Linked DNA regions of Astyanax mexicanus. The protein of the gene in region 1 interacts with the protein of each later gene in a pairwise test. Links are inferred from orthologs where the notes say so. Each region holds a gene or a part of one and is shown on either strand. Other genes may lie near its edges.

Evidence for each region. The genes of interacting proteins can lie anywhere in the genome.
Region 2: the proteins of ccna1 (region 1) and cdkn1bb interact in binary tests that used the Homo sapiens proteins (3 or more experiments, as listed by UniProt). The link is inferred for Astyanax mexicanus from reciprocal best matches to the Homo sapiens genes CCNA1 and CDKN1B.

The regions. Positions count from the first base shown.
Region 1 is NC_064427.1:39,499,837-39,507,904, forward strand, and holds the start of ccna1 (cyclin-A1), read right to left. Parts: upstream 3,408-8,068; 5' UTR 3,229-3,407; intron 2,343-3,228; 5' UTR 2,289-2,342; coding exon 2,133-2,288; intron 2,039-2,132; coding exon 1,828-2,038; intron 1,025-1,827; coding exon 906-1,024; intron 666-905; coding exon 442-665; intron 1-441. UniProt on the Homo sapiens protein: May be involved in the control of the cell cycle at the G1/S (start) and G2/M (mitosis) transitions. May primarily function in the control of the germline meiotic cell cycle and additionally in the control of mitotic cell cycle in some somatic cells.
Region 2 is NC_064409.1:49,296,704-49,304,427, reverse strand, and holds the start of cdkn1bb (cyclin-dependent kinase inhibitor 1Bb), read left to right. Parts: upstream 1-4,104; 5' UTR 4,105-4,474; coding exon 4,475-4,871; intron 4,872-6,135; coding exon 6,136-6,254; 3' UTR 6,255-6,269; intron 6,270-7,554; 3' UTR 7,555-7,724. Other genes in the region: yars2 (tyrosine--tRNA ligase, mitochondrial), read left to right, coding at 163-318, 739-909, 2,175-2,334. UniProt on the Homo sapiens protein: Important regulator of cell cycle progression. Inhibits the kinase activity of CDK2 bound to cyclin A, but has little inhibitory activity on CDK2 bound to SPDYA. Involved in G1 arrest. Potent inhibitor of cyclin E- and cyclin A-CDK2 complexes.

The sequences.
Region 1 (8,068 bases):
GTTTTATCTGAATTCCACTGTAACAATTTGGCAACCCTGCTGACTCGCTGTCCTCTCCGTTTCTTCGGCTGTCTGTTGCTTAGTAGCGAGACCCGCAATGCATTTTGGGACACATTTAGCTCGCTTACTATAAATCATGATGCATTGTGGGAGTTTAGTGCCCTCAAAATCACGTTCTAATTCCCCCTTACGATTCGGACACTTGAAGAAAAATGGCCGACACTCAATAGTGCCCTAACTAGTAAATAGGGAGCCATTTCGGTCACACCCAAGGTTGTTTAGCTATTCAAAACCATCCAGGAAACTTAACCTACCAGTAAGTAGCCCATAAATTTGGGATAAAACCAAATCTGTAATAATTTAAAAATACTGGACTTGTTTAAATAACTTAAACCATTTAAAAAAAAAAAAAAAAAAAAAAAAAAACACATCTTTACTTACGCAGCCACAAGTATTGCGGCAGTTCCCACAAGCTGCAGCTTTCCACGAAGCACAGACATGGAAGATAGGAAGCGATCCAGGTAGTTCACTGCCAAGTAGACAGTCTCTGAGCACAGCTTGTACTCTTCAGCAACCTCCACCAGCCAGTCAATCAAGATGACCCTCATGCAGTTTGTGATGTCTGGCTGCTTCCTCATATAGCCAGGCTTGGGCCTGTACCTTATCTGGAAGGAAGAGCAAACTGTTAGTAGGGCAAAGACCAAGTTCTAAAGGAGAGTGAAGACTAGACTCCTTTATGAAACCAGTCAGCCACATCATGTCAAACTGCTACTCCTACCGGACAGCTTTGAGAGCACACAGAGCACCGACTGCCAGTTCTGTCAAGGCTGCCAAAAGAGCCACACCAGCAAGCAATTTAATGCAGAAATCCCATCAGCTAGACTTGAGGGCACTGAAACACTGACCTCACTCTCTCGAAGGTGCCTGTGGATGTCCTCAGCATATTCAGGTACGCACAACACATCCTCAGTAACAGCCACTTCCTCCTCCTCCAGTGACTGCATAGAAGCATCCAAGCATGATCCTGTACACATACAAACTCCAGCTATATTCATACAATTTTATAACAAAATAAGCCAGCACTGTAAGTAGTGTTGCCAACTCCTAAGTAAGGAAAGTAGCTATTGGCTCTCCTAAAAGTCGCTAGAAGTCGCTAAATGACGTCATCACCTAATCTGCATAATACATGTTTTTGAAGCTGTAAAGGATTAATGTTGTTAGAGAAAAAGAAGTGAGTAAAAAACTCTAAATGTTAGAAATGTTACAAATGAACAACTTCAGTTGCTTTTTAAATAGGCAGTCAGGTCTCAAAATAAATTCATTTGTGTAAAATACATTAATCAGTTTTTTGCCATGTTAAATGTTATTAAAAGAGTAGCAGTTAGCCAGAACTGTTATTCTAGGTTGTGTTTTATTTTATAAAAAAAAAAAAGTTTTAAGTTTCCTTTATTTTTTAAACCTATTATAGATGTTGAACAGCTTTTTACAAAGAGGGAGACACTGGACGAGGTGTCAGGCTACGTGGTGAATGAGGCGCAGTTCATTTACAGTGTGTTCGTGAAGCGGTGTGGGTGTGCCCTGACTGAGAGACTGCACTGTGAGTGTTGTGGGCGGGGCTTACAGCACCACCCACTGCTCGCTGAGGACAGTAACTGAGGAGCATGTGTGTTTCTCAGAGTTGCCAAAAGTCTCCAATAACACCACAAAAACCCCGTCTGTCGCTAGTCGCTTTTTTACAATATAAGTCGCTGGAGGGTGTGAAAAGTCGTTAAATATAGCGACAAAGTTGCTAAGTTGGCAACGCTGACCGTAAAGACAAAGTCTAACCTGTGCTTAAGCCGCTCACAGCACTTATCATCTGAAGTGCTGAAGAATGAAGAATAAGCGAGTCAGCTCCCTGCTCCCCAATAAGCCTGGGTGCTGGTACAACCGACTCAGCCACCTGAACACAGCTAACTGCAGAATTGGACTGGTTTGAGGTGTTGATTCCAAGGCCAGACACATTTTGAGATCCTGATCCACGTTTAACAGGAACAGCCTTTTAAAACAAACAAAAAGTAAAAAAAAACTTTAAAACCCTGAATTTTAGAATTAAGCATAAAAGGCATGATAGGGCTCAAACAAAGACTTACTTGGTTACAAGTCCTGTTATGGTGATCATTTTCAGTCAAAACACCCAAAACCACTCTTTGGCCAGCTTTCAGACGAGGACCATCCATCCTTGCCTGAGCAGAGATGTTCTCTCGGCTGCTACGGCTGGCAAACGGAGCGAGGGCGCTAGAGCTCATTTTCCTGGTTACTAGCTGGCAGTGTAGAGGTCACTTGATTCTCTCAAGCTCAGCCTTTGTGTAGGAGAAACAAATCAGTAACAAACGACTGGCTTATTACAACGCAAGGTCCACAAACTAGTTCCGTTTTTATTTAAAAGGCAGTGGTTGAACATCTTGAGAGCATCACATAACACTGAAGAATCTGTTTTTTCACAGCATCTTACAGAGTGGAGGCATGTGGAGAAAACTAGCGCCTTTTAAAAATGTACCATTTGTTTCTACAGGTCTGTTTCAAGCATTTAACCATTTAAAAAACATTAGATGTTTCACATTCCATAACTAATTGTTGTGATTTCTAGAACACAAATGTTAGTCATTGTAAAACATTTAGTCATTCACCCCACAACAAAAACTGTTACGTTGAGGTTGAACAAAAAAAAAAACAAATTTATAGTCATTTTGTATAGTTGTCATTTTCCAATTGGAAAGTTTTCCCTTAAGGTGTTGCATTTGATCATTTTAAAAAGGCAAGATCAGAATTCCATTAAGAGACTGGTGTATAAAAAAAGTAACACCTTTTCAAATAAATAAGTAGATTAAGCAGTGTTTTAAGAGTTATGCTAACAATTGCTTTCCATATCTTTCAATATGGGATATTTGAAGGTAAATATTTCAGTACTGTCTCAGGGTAAGGTCTAATGAGAGCTTGTACTACATTAATATTTTGCCTTTAGTATCTCTACTTTAACTCAAGTATTAGATTAACTACAAAAGTTTGAGTACATAACCCACCACTGCCTAAAACCACATGGGCCTGAATTAGTACCTAAAAATGTCAAATATGGTAAAAAAAAACAAGCTTGTACTAGCAGTGTAACAGTGTTAAGCATTACATTATAGCAATGCCTCAGCTTTCTACACTAAACCAACTGAACAAAAAAAACATAAATAAACAAACCTGTTAAGTCTTCAAGTCTCTCTCAGAAGCAGGAACACCAAATAAATCCGCAAACAAACCCTGATAGTAACTAAACGTGTTTCCACCCACTATATATCCGCAGATCGACATTGAGGTCAACTGTTTAACCAATAGGAGAGGCTGATTGATCCAATCAGGGTCCTGCTCAGGTGTTTACAATCCGGCAGGGGTCAGCTAATAAAGCGGTCACGTGACAGCGGAACCACGGCAACAGCGGTTTTCTCGGCGTCTCTAAACCCCGGCTGCTCCCTACTCCCTTAGTAGTGTAGCGCTTTATAGGGAGACACTATGTAGTTCACTAAGTAATGGTGGAAACAGAAGTGAATTCGGACACTCCCTCATTATTATCCCTTTAGAAAGGCTAAAAACGAGAAATGTAAAAGAACTGATGAACTCTCACTTGCCTCTGTTTAAAATATAATTTTAGTTATTTTGTTTTTCGTTCTTCTTTACTTTTTCTTGTTTTTATTATTTTAATGCTGTCTTCTATCGTTGTTTCTTGTATTAACATGAAACTTTAGACAATTAAAAAAAACGGGTGGCTGAGCCGTGTTTAAAACTCCATAAACACACTGAACTGAGCTCTGAATTACAGTTAGTGAAGCTCTGAACTGATCATGGCGGGGGGGGGGGGGGGGGGGGGGGGGGTGTATTAAAAACAGGTGGATTTGCCCCACCCAAAAACCAATATCGTTTAATGAGGAGACAGGTCACTTGTTTCTCTTAACGCCAATCACGGAGCTGTTTCAGTGAGAAAGTTCCGCCTCTCAGGAGAAACAGCCAATCAGCTTGCAGGTTTTGCGGCGCACGGAGGAAAGTGTATAAAACACGAAAAATAAATAAATTAAATAATAAATTGTGTAGGTCAGCGCATGCGCAGTACCTTTGGGAAGCATGTATCGATGGGTAGGACAATTCAACAGAACAGCGGAATGGCTCCCTACTCCCTCATTAGTGTTGCGCTACTTTGGGAGACACTATGTAGTTCACTAAGTAGTGGTGAAACAGGAATGAATTCGGACACGCCCTCATCATCATCATGCGCCAGCACTGGTCGCATCGGGTCGCATAAACACACACAGGTGAGAGAGGGGTTGAGTCGTGTTTAATCCTCACATTATTGAGCTACATGAAGAAAACCTGAAATTAACAGCGTGTAGCGGCTCGCAATGTTGCCAGATTGAAATTATCTGGAGGAAACGCTGTGCTTTGACAAAACTAGGACAAAACTACCGATTGTTAAAAGTTTGTAAGTGAAAAAAAAACTGTTGTAAGATTCAACAGTGTTGTAGTTAAATATCCAACCTTGCAGAGACAGAGCTTTTTTTTGTGTGTGTGTCCTATTATACAATACGCAAAACACATAATACACATTATACAAATGTTTTTTTTTTTTTTGTAATTGGTGATATTTAAGATGTAAGATAAGGTATTTTATTTAAGATCATGTTGGAATAAAACTTGTAATGTTGTTGATATACTGAACATCAGCTGTTTGGGTGATTTTCTTAGCATTTTGGCAGATTTAAATCCCACTGTAACAATCTGGCAACCCTGGTTTTTTTTAATGTCCCTTTTTACACTGCAAAACAACAGTACAGGTTCTAAGAAAAAAAAACCCTGCATATAAACCCATAACACTGAAACAATGTAAAATCAATATGCACAAAAAAATTCTAAAGTTGAAAATCAACATTGTTTTAATTCATTAGCGAAAAAAATCACGAAATGTTAAGTTACACATGTCATTTTGCCCATAGTTGTCAAAAACAGCAAAAATATTGGGTCAGACATTTTGTAGTTTTATTTGAAATTAATTATACCTTTCAGTTCTACATATTTCCCTATCAACACCATAAAATATACCAATGTGTCTAGAATTCCCAATGTAAAACATAATTCAATGCATTGGTGTTTTACTACCAACAAAGAAAAGTCATGTCATTTTTATCCCGGAGGGACAGGAATAAACAGCTGGTCCAAAAAGGCAGTTTCATATTTAAATGTAAATGAATATCATTTATATATATAATATATAATATTAATATATATAATATTATTTTTTTTATTTTTTTACTAACTCATAAAAGGATTAGGAGGAATCAGACATGTCGGCCAGTATGTTTTTCCTTCAGTGTCAATAACAGAGTGAAAATCATTTTTTTGACAGTTTGTTGACTGAAAAGTTGCAAACTCACTTAAAAGATATACTGAATATGCAGTGTGTACTGCCCACTGGTTTAATTTTGAATGCGGAAAATAATAAGATTTTGCTTTGTGATGTATACAACTAAATGTATATATCTTATGAATTAGACAACATATTCCCTTTTGTCTTGGTTTTATATTTGTATCCAGACCTGCTCTTTATTGTTTTTGCTTTATATTATGAGGCTTAATATGTCTTAATAGTTTCCTATTAACCTTTTTGATAGGAGGCACAGACTGAGCTCTGGGCAGCTAATGATTGACACTTGGTCAGTAAAACTGGATAGCCGAGCAAGGATGTCCCATAAGTAAATTTAAATGGCACTCAAAGTGGAACCCTTCACTTACTACTGCCATAATCGATCAGCAGCCTCAGTCACGGTGGGTACAGTCTGCAGTCACTATCGCCCTTGAGGCACTGAATTCTCTGCATATTTTTTTCTGGAAAGTCTGGGAAGAATATAAAACATGGTCCAAAAAAGAAAAACACACAGAGCACAACATATTGTTGAAAGTTGCATTTTGACCTATTGGATTTAAATATATAGGTAAACTGTATAGTTTAAATTAATATATTTGGATTGCTAATTGCATGTGACTAATGCTTATTGTCGTCTTTCTTTCTACTAACAACTCATCCCTACACATTAGCTTCTTTTTTTAATGTTCATTATTAGATAGGTTCTTCAGGAGCCCTATATAGATTCACCTTATAATTGTCTTGCAGTAAAAAAGCTGTGGAGACCATCCACTCCAGTCCAAGACAGGCAGGAGGTATGAAATTGTCCCCTGCGTCACCTCTGAGTCCTTGATTTACTTTAATTTAACTACATTTCCATGAATAATTGGAGTGTAAACAGAGGGATGCAGCGTGTAATGAGAGAAGAAATGAAAGGGTCAAGCAGCTACTGGACTGCTGCTGAGATAAATCAACACCCTTAAAATGTACTTGAGTGGAAGAATTGATCTACCCCAGGTGTTTGGGCATGCCTTTCTTTGTTTAGTGTGAATGCCTCAAAAATGTCATTCTTTCTAGTGCATTTTAACGATGAATTATTTTGAGCATAAAGCTAGCAAAACATTAAAAATATTTGGCAAGCAAAAAATTATATCACAGATTTTAAAAAGCAGTTTTGTTAAGTGAAAAGGTGGAAGAATCAATTATACAGAACACAACTGGACTGTTTTCAATAGTGGTGGCAGGCCAACTGTCAGGGTGAGGTGCAGGGAAGACGTGGAGGCGGACGTAAACGCAGGTAAGAAAGAAATATTTAATAAATAAATAACAAATAAAGAAACAAGAAACAAGTAAACACATAACAAAGATAAACCAAAAACCAATAACCAAAATAAACAGTGAAACAAAAGAACATAAACCTAAACAAACCAGAGAACATAAACTAAACCAACTAGAGATAATGATAATAAATAAACAGGGAATATATACAAGGGAATAAACTAGAAATAAACAAGGAAATAAACTATAAACGAGAAAACAAGAAATAAACGAGAAACAAGGGACTAAGGCTAAAGGAGACAAGGAAACACTGAGAGAAGCTTTGAAACACAGAGAGAGAGACGAACGACAGGTGAAGGTGCAAAGACTGACGAAGGACAAGTGACAGAGGAGGGCTATTTATACTTACATGAAACACACTAGAAGTGGAAACACCTGGGGAAGGGGCGGAGCTACAAATGAGACACTTGGTGGAAAACTACTGAGACAGGAGACACAGAGGGGCACAGGTCACGTGGGGAAAACACACAGAGACATGAGACAAGGCCAGGACGTGACACCAACACTATACCCCGTCCTCCCACTGCTGAAAACAATCCAAACACTATGAGGAAGTAGTTCAGTATGACTAAAATATATCAGTTGTGCAATATATCAGTTGTTGGGTATAAATTATTCCAGTGCTACATACATATAGCTCGCAGAGTGTAAGGCAGAGAGATGCCAGATTTAAGTTAATTTGTACTTTTGCATGACTGAGCCTGTTTATGACCCTTTCACAACCATGCCAGCTGTTTTCCAGCTGAAAAAGACACAAGCAGTTTAGGGCTAGGATAGTTATGTTAGCTTAGCTAACTTAGATTTAGCATTTGTTTGTTTTCTTGTCTGTGTAAATTTCACTGAAATGTGACTTGGGCAGAGGTGCTGAGCTACTTTTACGATAAGAATGGCTCAACTAAAGTAAATCTGTGATTTAAGTAGCGCTGCTGAGGTACTTTTATGATAAAAAAAAGGCTCAGCTGAAGTAAATGTGTGATTGAGCAGCACTGCTGAGGTACATTTATGACTAAAATTGCATTGCTGAAGTGAGTTCTTGATTAGAAAGAATGTTACTAATGAGATACATTTATAAATAGAAAATCACTGCAGAGGTAAATGCATTTTGCTTTGTTGTTTTGTCTGCTGGGATATTAAACGTTAGTATTCAATAAGTATTTTTAAAACTGCATATAAAAATTGTAATTGCCTTTTGTGTAAAAGGGAGAAAAACATTTGGGCCATTGAATTTATTCAATAGTGACAAAAAGGCAAAATGTACAAAAACGGCCTTTGGATAAATATTTAATTCGGTTTTAGACATTTCTTTTTTATTTT
Region 2 (7,724 bases), on another chromosome or scaffold:
GATGTTAGAAGTCTGCATATGTGACCCATGATTAAAAAGTGTTAAAGTATTTATAGGACAAAAAATAAATAAAAAAACTAAGCAAAAGATGTTTGTGTTAGTCTTCCATGTGTGTGTGTGTATGCATTCGTGTTACTAAGCTACAGGGTCCTTCCCCCACAGCTACATTAAACTGTTCACCTTCTTGCCGCTGGCGGAGGTGGAGAAGGTGATGGAGCAGCAGAGACGGGATCCAGGCAAGAGAACGGCCCACAAACGACTAGCTGCTGAGGTTACCAAACTGGTACATGGCAAGGATGGTCTAGAAACTGCCAAAAGGTGAGAACATTTTTTATAACATCAATTCATACAGTACAATGCAAGTTAATAGAGAGCCTATTTAAGCCGTTGTGCCATGAACATGAATAAAACCACTAGAATGTATGTACAAGAGTGAATGCAAGAAAAGGTTTAAAATCTTAAATGAATATAATAAAACTTATTTGTGCATTTTTGCCCGTAAATATTTTGGTTTTAAAAAGATGTGGCTATTGACGTGCTGATTGGTTGGCAAACTGATTACGTCATTGGCCAAGACAACTATTAAAACATAACAGGAATGTGGAAGCATTGCGTTATTCTGTATATAAGAAAGATTGTAATTGTTTCATTAATCATTTACCAATTTCAAATCTCAGTGGAATGCAGATTTTGTTTTGAGCAGTGTAAGATAAACTCTGTGTGTTTGTATTTGTCCAGGTGCACTAATGCTCTGTATAACAGTAGCATTGAAGCTCTGGAGCAGATGGATGATGTGGAGCTGAAGGAGTTGTTCAGAGAAGCTCCGTTTAAGGAGTTCTTTTTGGAGCCAGGCACCACAGTACTGGATGCCTGTCGGAGGGCCCAAGTCATTCCTGAAGGACCTAAAGGGTACTTTTTAATTATTTGTTGATATATTAAACTGTACTGTTTATGCTGCTATCAAAACCCTGTTGCTCACCTGCCATTTAATTTGGAAGATATTGGGGTAGTTTCTCAGGCAGGGATTAAACCCAGGTTTAGATTACGCAGCATTTTCAATGGACAACTTTTCTTTGAAAGAAAATTATAGTCTACAACTAGACTCAGAAACTGACCTATTGAGTCCTGTTTACCATATTTTTGAACTGCGCACTGAATCATAAGGAGCACTATCAACAAGCGTCTATTTTCTGGTCTATTTTCATACATAAGGCACACCTTATTATAAGGCGCCTTAAGGAACACTAGTAAGAATGCATACTTATTAAGTAATAATTCAGTTCAGTTCTGATTCAGTTCACCTCTGAGGGTGCCTAGGTAAACAAAACTCTTAAAACCGAATTCTTTCAGAGTCAAACGAGCACTGGATTAGTGCTGGGCAGTATGACCGAAAATGTATATCACAGTATTTTTCAAGATTCTATCAGTGTTTTTTTTTTTTTATTCATTCATTGTATGACTAGGCTTTTATATAGGTTTGTGACTTAGGAGTACATAAAATAAAACACTAAGGCTTTAAATTAAGTCTTTGATTACTACTGGATCTAGTTTGTCTTACAAAATTAGACAATATATGAAGAAATCAGATTTTATTAGCAGAAAAACAGCTGAAGAATATAAACAATAGACCTTAAATACGCCATCATCTTTAACAGGACTTCCTTTTAAAAAAAATAGCTAAATATTTTAGTTCCATAAACACTATAAATGGACCTAAAATACTCATTAAGTATTCAAATGAGATATTTCTTAAATGTTCTATTGCACAAGTAAGACACAAGTTTAATATCAATTTACAATGTTTTTTTTTTAATCCATTAGAGGCATTAAAGTATTACAATCAGCCACAATTCCCTTCTTTCCCCAGTTAACAAATAAAAGGGCTATATATAGTTAGCCCTTTCTAATATGGGTGTTTCCATGTTGTACATTCAGTAATAAATTAAAGGACTGGGGAATGTGTTGTCTCCAAAAACGTTTATGTCTATGATGCTATTACAGATGTAATTGTTCTTTGTGATAACACGCCACCTTGAGTGTTTTATTGTTCTACAGTAATTCAGAAAATAAAGACAGAAAGAAGCTTTGATATCAGCAGTTTCTTCTGAAATGTCTGTTCCTCTTTATAGCATTCCTTTTTATTATGTATTTATATACTATGTGTATGTTTTTAGGTTTCAAATGATAACAGACGGCGGTGTTTGGTTCAACCACCAGAGGGCATCCAACCCGGAGCAGGTCCTGGTTCCCGGACAGCATATACTTTCCAATGGACTCAGTTTGATCAGAGTGGGCAAGAAGAACTATTACATCCTGAAGTGGCTCAGTATGTGATTTACTTACACCGAAGCGAATGTCTATATTTATTTAAAGAAATATGGATAAAAGATGCAGTGTGCTGCACAATGACTAACAATCCATACACAAATCGAATTATGCGGGACCCACAAAGATTTTGGGGCGTGTCAGACCACTGGCAGGAGGACAAGCAAAACTACACTAAATCCTGAGTTGATATAGAGAAACAGACTGGCAGAGGATAAAAAGGAATGAAAGAGGAGAGTGTGCACATTTGTGTCTTTACACACTTGTGTGCACGTATTTCAGAAATAGTTGTACTGTTTGTGTGTATATGTAATTCTGAATCACACCACCAGATGTCAGTAAAGGCCTTTTCCATTTTTTGTACAGGTTTTCTGTGTTTCTGTTTTATATTTATTGTATTATGGATGCTTTCCAATTAATTCACTCTATCTGCTTTAGGACCTATTCATCTTTTTATGATCTTTAACTTTGTTAGAATGTCTTTAAAAAAATCAACTGATCTGTTGAACTGTTTCTGATGCAATTCTTTTCAGTTATGTCTTACAGCCCATATTTTGCTTACAGCTAAAAACACGTTATACTAACAGCAATAAAATAAGGTTATATAAGAATTTTAGGATGGCCCAGTCGTATTCCATATGCTAAAATAATTTTTGCCCAGTTTAATTTTTACACTAGTTGGACATTTCAATACTGAAACTGTAGTTGGTTATAAATACAGTATAATGTACACAATGAGAATTTGTCTTACTGTAAGCATGGTTATGGTTTAAAAAAACTGAAAGTTGGAAAAATAAGAAAGGAAAATGGTGTGCCACTGACTTTTATGCAGTTCAAAAAGTGTGTACTTTGCCTGAGCTTTTAAAAAAACAGTAAACAAAAAAAGAAGAAAAATATTATTTTTCCCCCAAACAAACACCAACAAAATCCAACTTAAACCTAGGTAAAAATGCTGTGAGTGTGGGTTTCTGTGCTTTGCTCTGTGAACAGTAACTGTGTTACTCTGTTTGGCTCATTGAGACACACCTATGTCCTAATCAGAGTAGTAGTATTCCTGGAAGAGTCATTTCACTGGTGAACTTTTCACTTCCAGGAACAGACACAGTTCCATTTTTGTTTGCTACGTCTCTTTATTTCTCTCTGTCTACGGAATGCCCCAAATGACTCAGTGTTCGGTATTTCATATTTAAAATTAAACATAACCAGTAACAAAAAAACTGTGCAAATGTTACATGTGTTAATAATTAGACTAACATACTTTTGCTTTTTAATTTAATCAGCATGTAAAGTCTTTTTTTTTTTTTAAACTCCTGGTGTTTTCATGTAGCTACAAACCCCCCAGAGATGATGCATGTGTTTTTACAAATATACTTTCTAGCTTTGGTTGGTTTTGTTTAGAGCTGAAGCTGGATGTGGAGTTGTTTTATTCAGGGATCTATTCAGGAGTGTCAGTAACAGGGTTTTATGAACTGCAGTTGCTCTGGTTGGTTATAATTATTTTAAGAAGAAACAGAAGAAGGCTGTGTGCAGCTTGTGTGGACGGTGTTGGAGAGGTGGTGTGTTGGTTGTTGTTAGTGTAGTAGTAGTAAGCCTACCTTGCAGTGCTGCGTGTGTGTCTGTTTTTTTTTTTCTCTCTCCTCAGGGTGGGGGAGGTGCGCTGTGCCGGAGGAGCTCAGCGTAGAGGGGGCGGGGCCTGTGTCGTCCAGCCAATCAGCGAGCACCTCCGTTTAAATAGCTCTTTGTGTCAATCATTTTTCTCTCCACTCAGCCTCCCCTCTATCGCCATATTGGGCACCGAAAAGCCTGCTGTTATTTTCTTCCCTTTTACTACGAGGCGAGGCTGACAGGAGTGCGCACTTCGTCTCGCTTTGACTGCGCTTTGTTTTGATGGTCTGTGGAGGGGAATTTCTCTCGGCGTGTGTTTTTTCCTCGCGCTCTCACTCTTGCAGAGCATGCACGCGCTTGTGGCGAGTACAGCGTGTGTGAGCGTGAGCGTGCGTGTTTTTCTGGATGCCTGCTGCTGTTGTTGTGCAGCGCGTTGAGCCTGGAGGAAAGCGCCTGTTTTGAGTCGCTGTTTGTATCGGTTATTTTGTGGGTTTTTTTTTTTTTTTTTTTCACACGCCAAAAAATAAATAAAAATAAAAGAACGATGTCTAATGTGCGTCTCTCGAACGGAAGCCCGACCCTGGAGAGGATGGACAACCGGCCGCCCGACCAGCCGAAGCCGAGCGCCTGCAGGAGCCTGTTCGGGCCGGTGGATCACGAAGAGTTAAAGAGGGAGTTAAAGGGACACTTGATGGCGATGGAGAAGGCGTCGACCGAGTCGTGGAACTTCGACTTCTCCAACTTCACGCCTCGGCGCGGCCGCTACCTGTGGTCCCCCGTGGACAGCACGGACTTACCGGGCTTCTACAGCTCGACAGGGAATAAGAGCGTGGATGTAAACGGGAATCACGAGCGGCTCGCGGAGCGGAGCGAGACCCAGACCGAAAGGAGAGACCCGCAACAGAACGTCAAGAACAAGAGAAAAAGACCGTCGTCCCTCGGTACGCAGTGCTAGATCTTATTTTTGTTTCTTCTGTGTGGCGAAGTGAAGTTGTTTTTATTATCTTGTGTGGCGAGTAGAAAACGTAGCTAGCTAACGAGTTAGCCAACTAACCTAAACTCTAACTAGCTAGGTTAACCGACGTATGTAACGTAACGTTACGAGTGTGTGTTAAAGTACCTTAGCAGAAAACGTAAATTACTATTTTAGCCAACTAAACTAAAGCTAGGTAGCTAGTTATCTAACCAACACGCGTACGTGTGTTTTAGTCCGTGTTAAAGTACGTTAACTAACGCTGCGAGCTGTCGTTAGTTTTTTCGTAATAAGTGATCAGCGTTCACAACCTCTTCATTTCAAAATGTAACGTATCCAGGTAAACTAGCGCTACTAGCTGTCCTAGCTAACGTTAGTTAAGTTAACAAAATTTTAACTCTTAATTTAGTAACGTATATTTATTAAAATGTGTTACTGATAAAATGGCGCTTTTACAAGAAAAGTAAAAAAATATAGTAACTTAGTTACGTTAGATATAATATGGCTTTATAAACTATCTCCACTAATTTAAATAAAGATAAAATAAACGTATTTTTAGTTGCATTAGATACATATTTTTAACGTTGAAGACAAAAAATCATTAACGTTAAACCTATCATTCAACTTCTACCCAATATTATTTAAATGTCAATGTCTACACTGCAAGAACACAGTACAAGGTATGATATATAATGTAAACAAGAATAACATACATGTTTGATGTAACCTAAGTAACTGTTATAGTTTAATACAAACAGTTGCTACATATTAAAACAACGTTAAATCAACCTTAAATAATCGCTGCGCACGAACAGATCAGTCCTTACGTCTGAAACTAACGTCGTTTCAGAGCTTTAAAGATGGAAAAATGAACGTTGGTTCAACGTACTTTTGCTGTCTGGCTACTATTTAATTGCTATTTATATAATTGCTCTGGTTTTAGTTTGTGTATTATATATTTGTGTATATATAGCTATAGCAGAGCCGGCCAGGCAGTTAGAACAAAATCCTACCTGTACTAATAGTAATAGTAAAATACTTAACTAGCCGATCTAGCGTTAGTTAGTTTATCTACATTTAAAACTCCACAGCTCGCTAACAAATATACAATGGTCACAGTCTAATAGGTACTTCTTTTTTGTTGGAGTTAGTCAAACATGTCTAGCTCCATTTGTAGCCAGAATCCCTCATTGTGTGTTTTATTTATTTTTTTTATTATCTTTCTAAATTAGATTCCTCGTGTCAGACTAAACGCTCGCGCACCTGTGTGGATGAAGTCTCGTGCCGGCCGGGTTTGACCCAGGCGCTCGATCACACACCCGTGAAGTCGAGCCCCCAGCGGCAGACGTGAGCGAGCCGTGTTGAGGTAAGGAGAGCACCACGTCACCTCACTGTACTCAAACACCACGAGAGCTGATACTACACTCACTGATGGCTATCTGTGTACTGGTCAAAGTGGATCAAATTACACTCCCTCGCTGAATTTTACAACACTGTTTAGCTATGTTCATTTATATTTGCCCAGTTTGATAGGCCTGTCACAATAATTACATTATTGACTTATCGCACAGTATTATGTACATGACCTAAATCATTTTCACTGACCTCAATGTTGTCTGTTGAATCTACTTGGCTCACATTTTAAGTGAACGAGCCATTTGTTAAAACATTTTTTCTGTTTCTGTGTCTGATGAATATATTAAAATCTCTTTCTCATTAAAAGTAATGTGTAAATACTTTTATTTCTATTATCATTAAATCAATGAAATAAAATAGTCTTAAAATTACAATAATATCATTGCTATTGTTTGTGGGGTCTATTACGAATTGGTTATCGTGACCAGGCTTACACCCAGTATTGTAGCAATAGATTCAAAATGGTTGCACATAAACAAAAAAATAAAATTAAGGTAAATGTTTTTACCTTTTGGTCTTAGGTGCTGGGAGCTGGATTACCTTTTGTTTTGTTTTTTTGTTTATATGATATATTTTTTTATTATTTTATCTTATTTTAAACATTAAATGTATTATAATATCTCTTAACTCGTCTTAATCACTTGTCTGCATTCGAGTTAAGGATTCGCATGTTTTCTTCACTCCTGCCGTGCCGTATGTTATCAAACTTTGAGCATTAAATGTCCTTTCCATATTTCATTATGTTTAAATCTATTTATGATTTGTGCAGCTACAAGGCTGTATTTTAACTTGGAGACACTTTTTCGTGTGTTAGCTAATGAGTTGATGTATACCTTTTTATTGGTGGTGGTTGTTACCTCAGGGCTGATGTAGAGGAATTAGCTAGCTGTCAGTTTGAGTGTTTACACAGACTTACTAGTCAGGGCACAGAGATTAGCTTTGGCAGTTGTGGGAAATAATCATATGCCGTTTTAACACAATGATGGTATTAACGTGAATAGTAGGTTTTGTGCAAAATTGGAAGCGAAACTGTAGTTTCTAGTGCAGTTTAGTATGTCTTTGGTGTGAATATAGAAACTCAGATTTAATGTACAGCTACATGGTTCACAAGCCCACATTTTTAACATGAAAACAAATTTACACTTTTTTTTTTAAACATGTTAAATGTTGTTTCTGTGTATCTAACTTAGTTAAAAATTCTTACTATGTATTTTGTCTCCTGTTCTCTTTTTCAGAGCTGAAGACTTTCTCTCCCTTCTGACGGCTTCAGTGCTTGGCGAATTAAGAATTCGAGGAGAGAGGAACGATAGGAAAGCAAAAGCATATCGGCTGTAAGAGTGGAGAGACTGCACAAGCACTGAAACAAAAACACAAAAGTTCTGGCACTAAAAAAAGCAACTGCCTC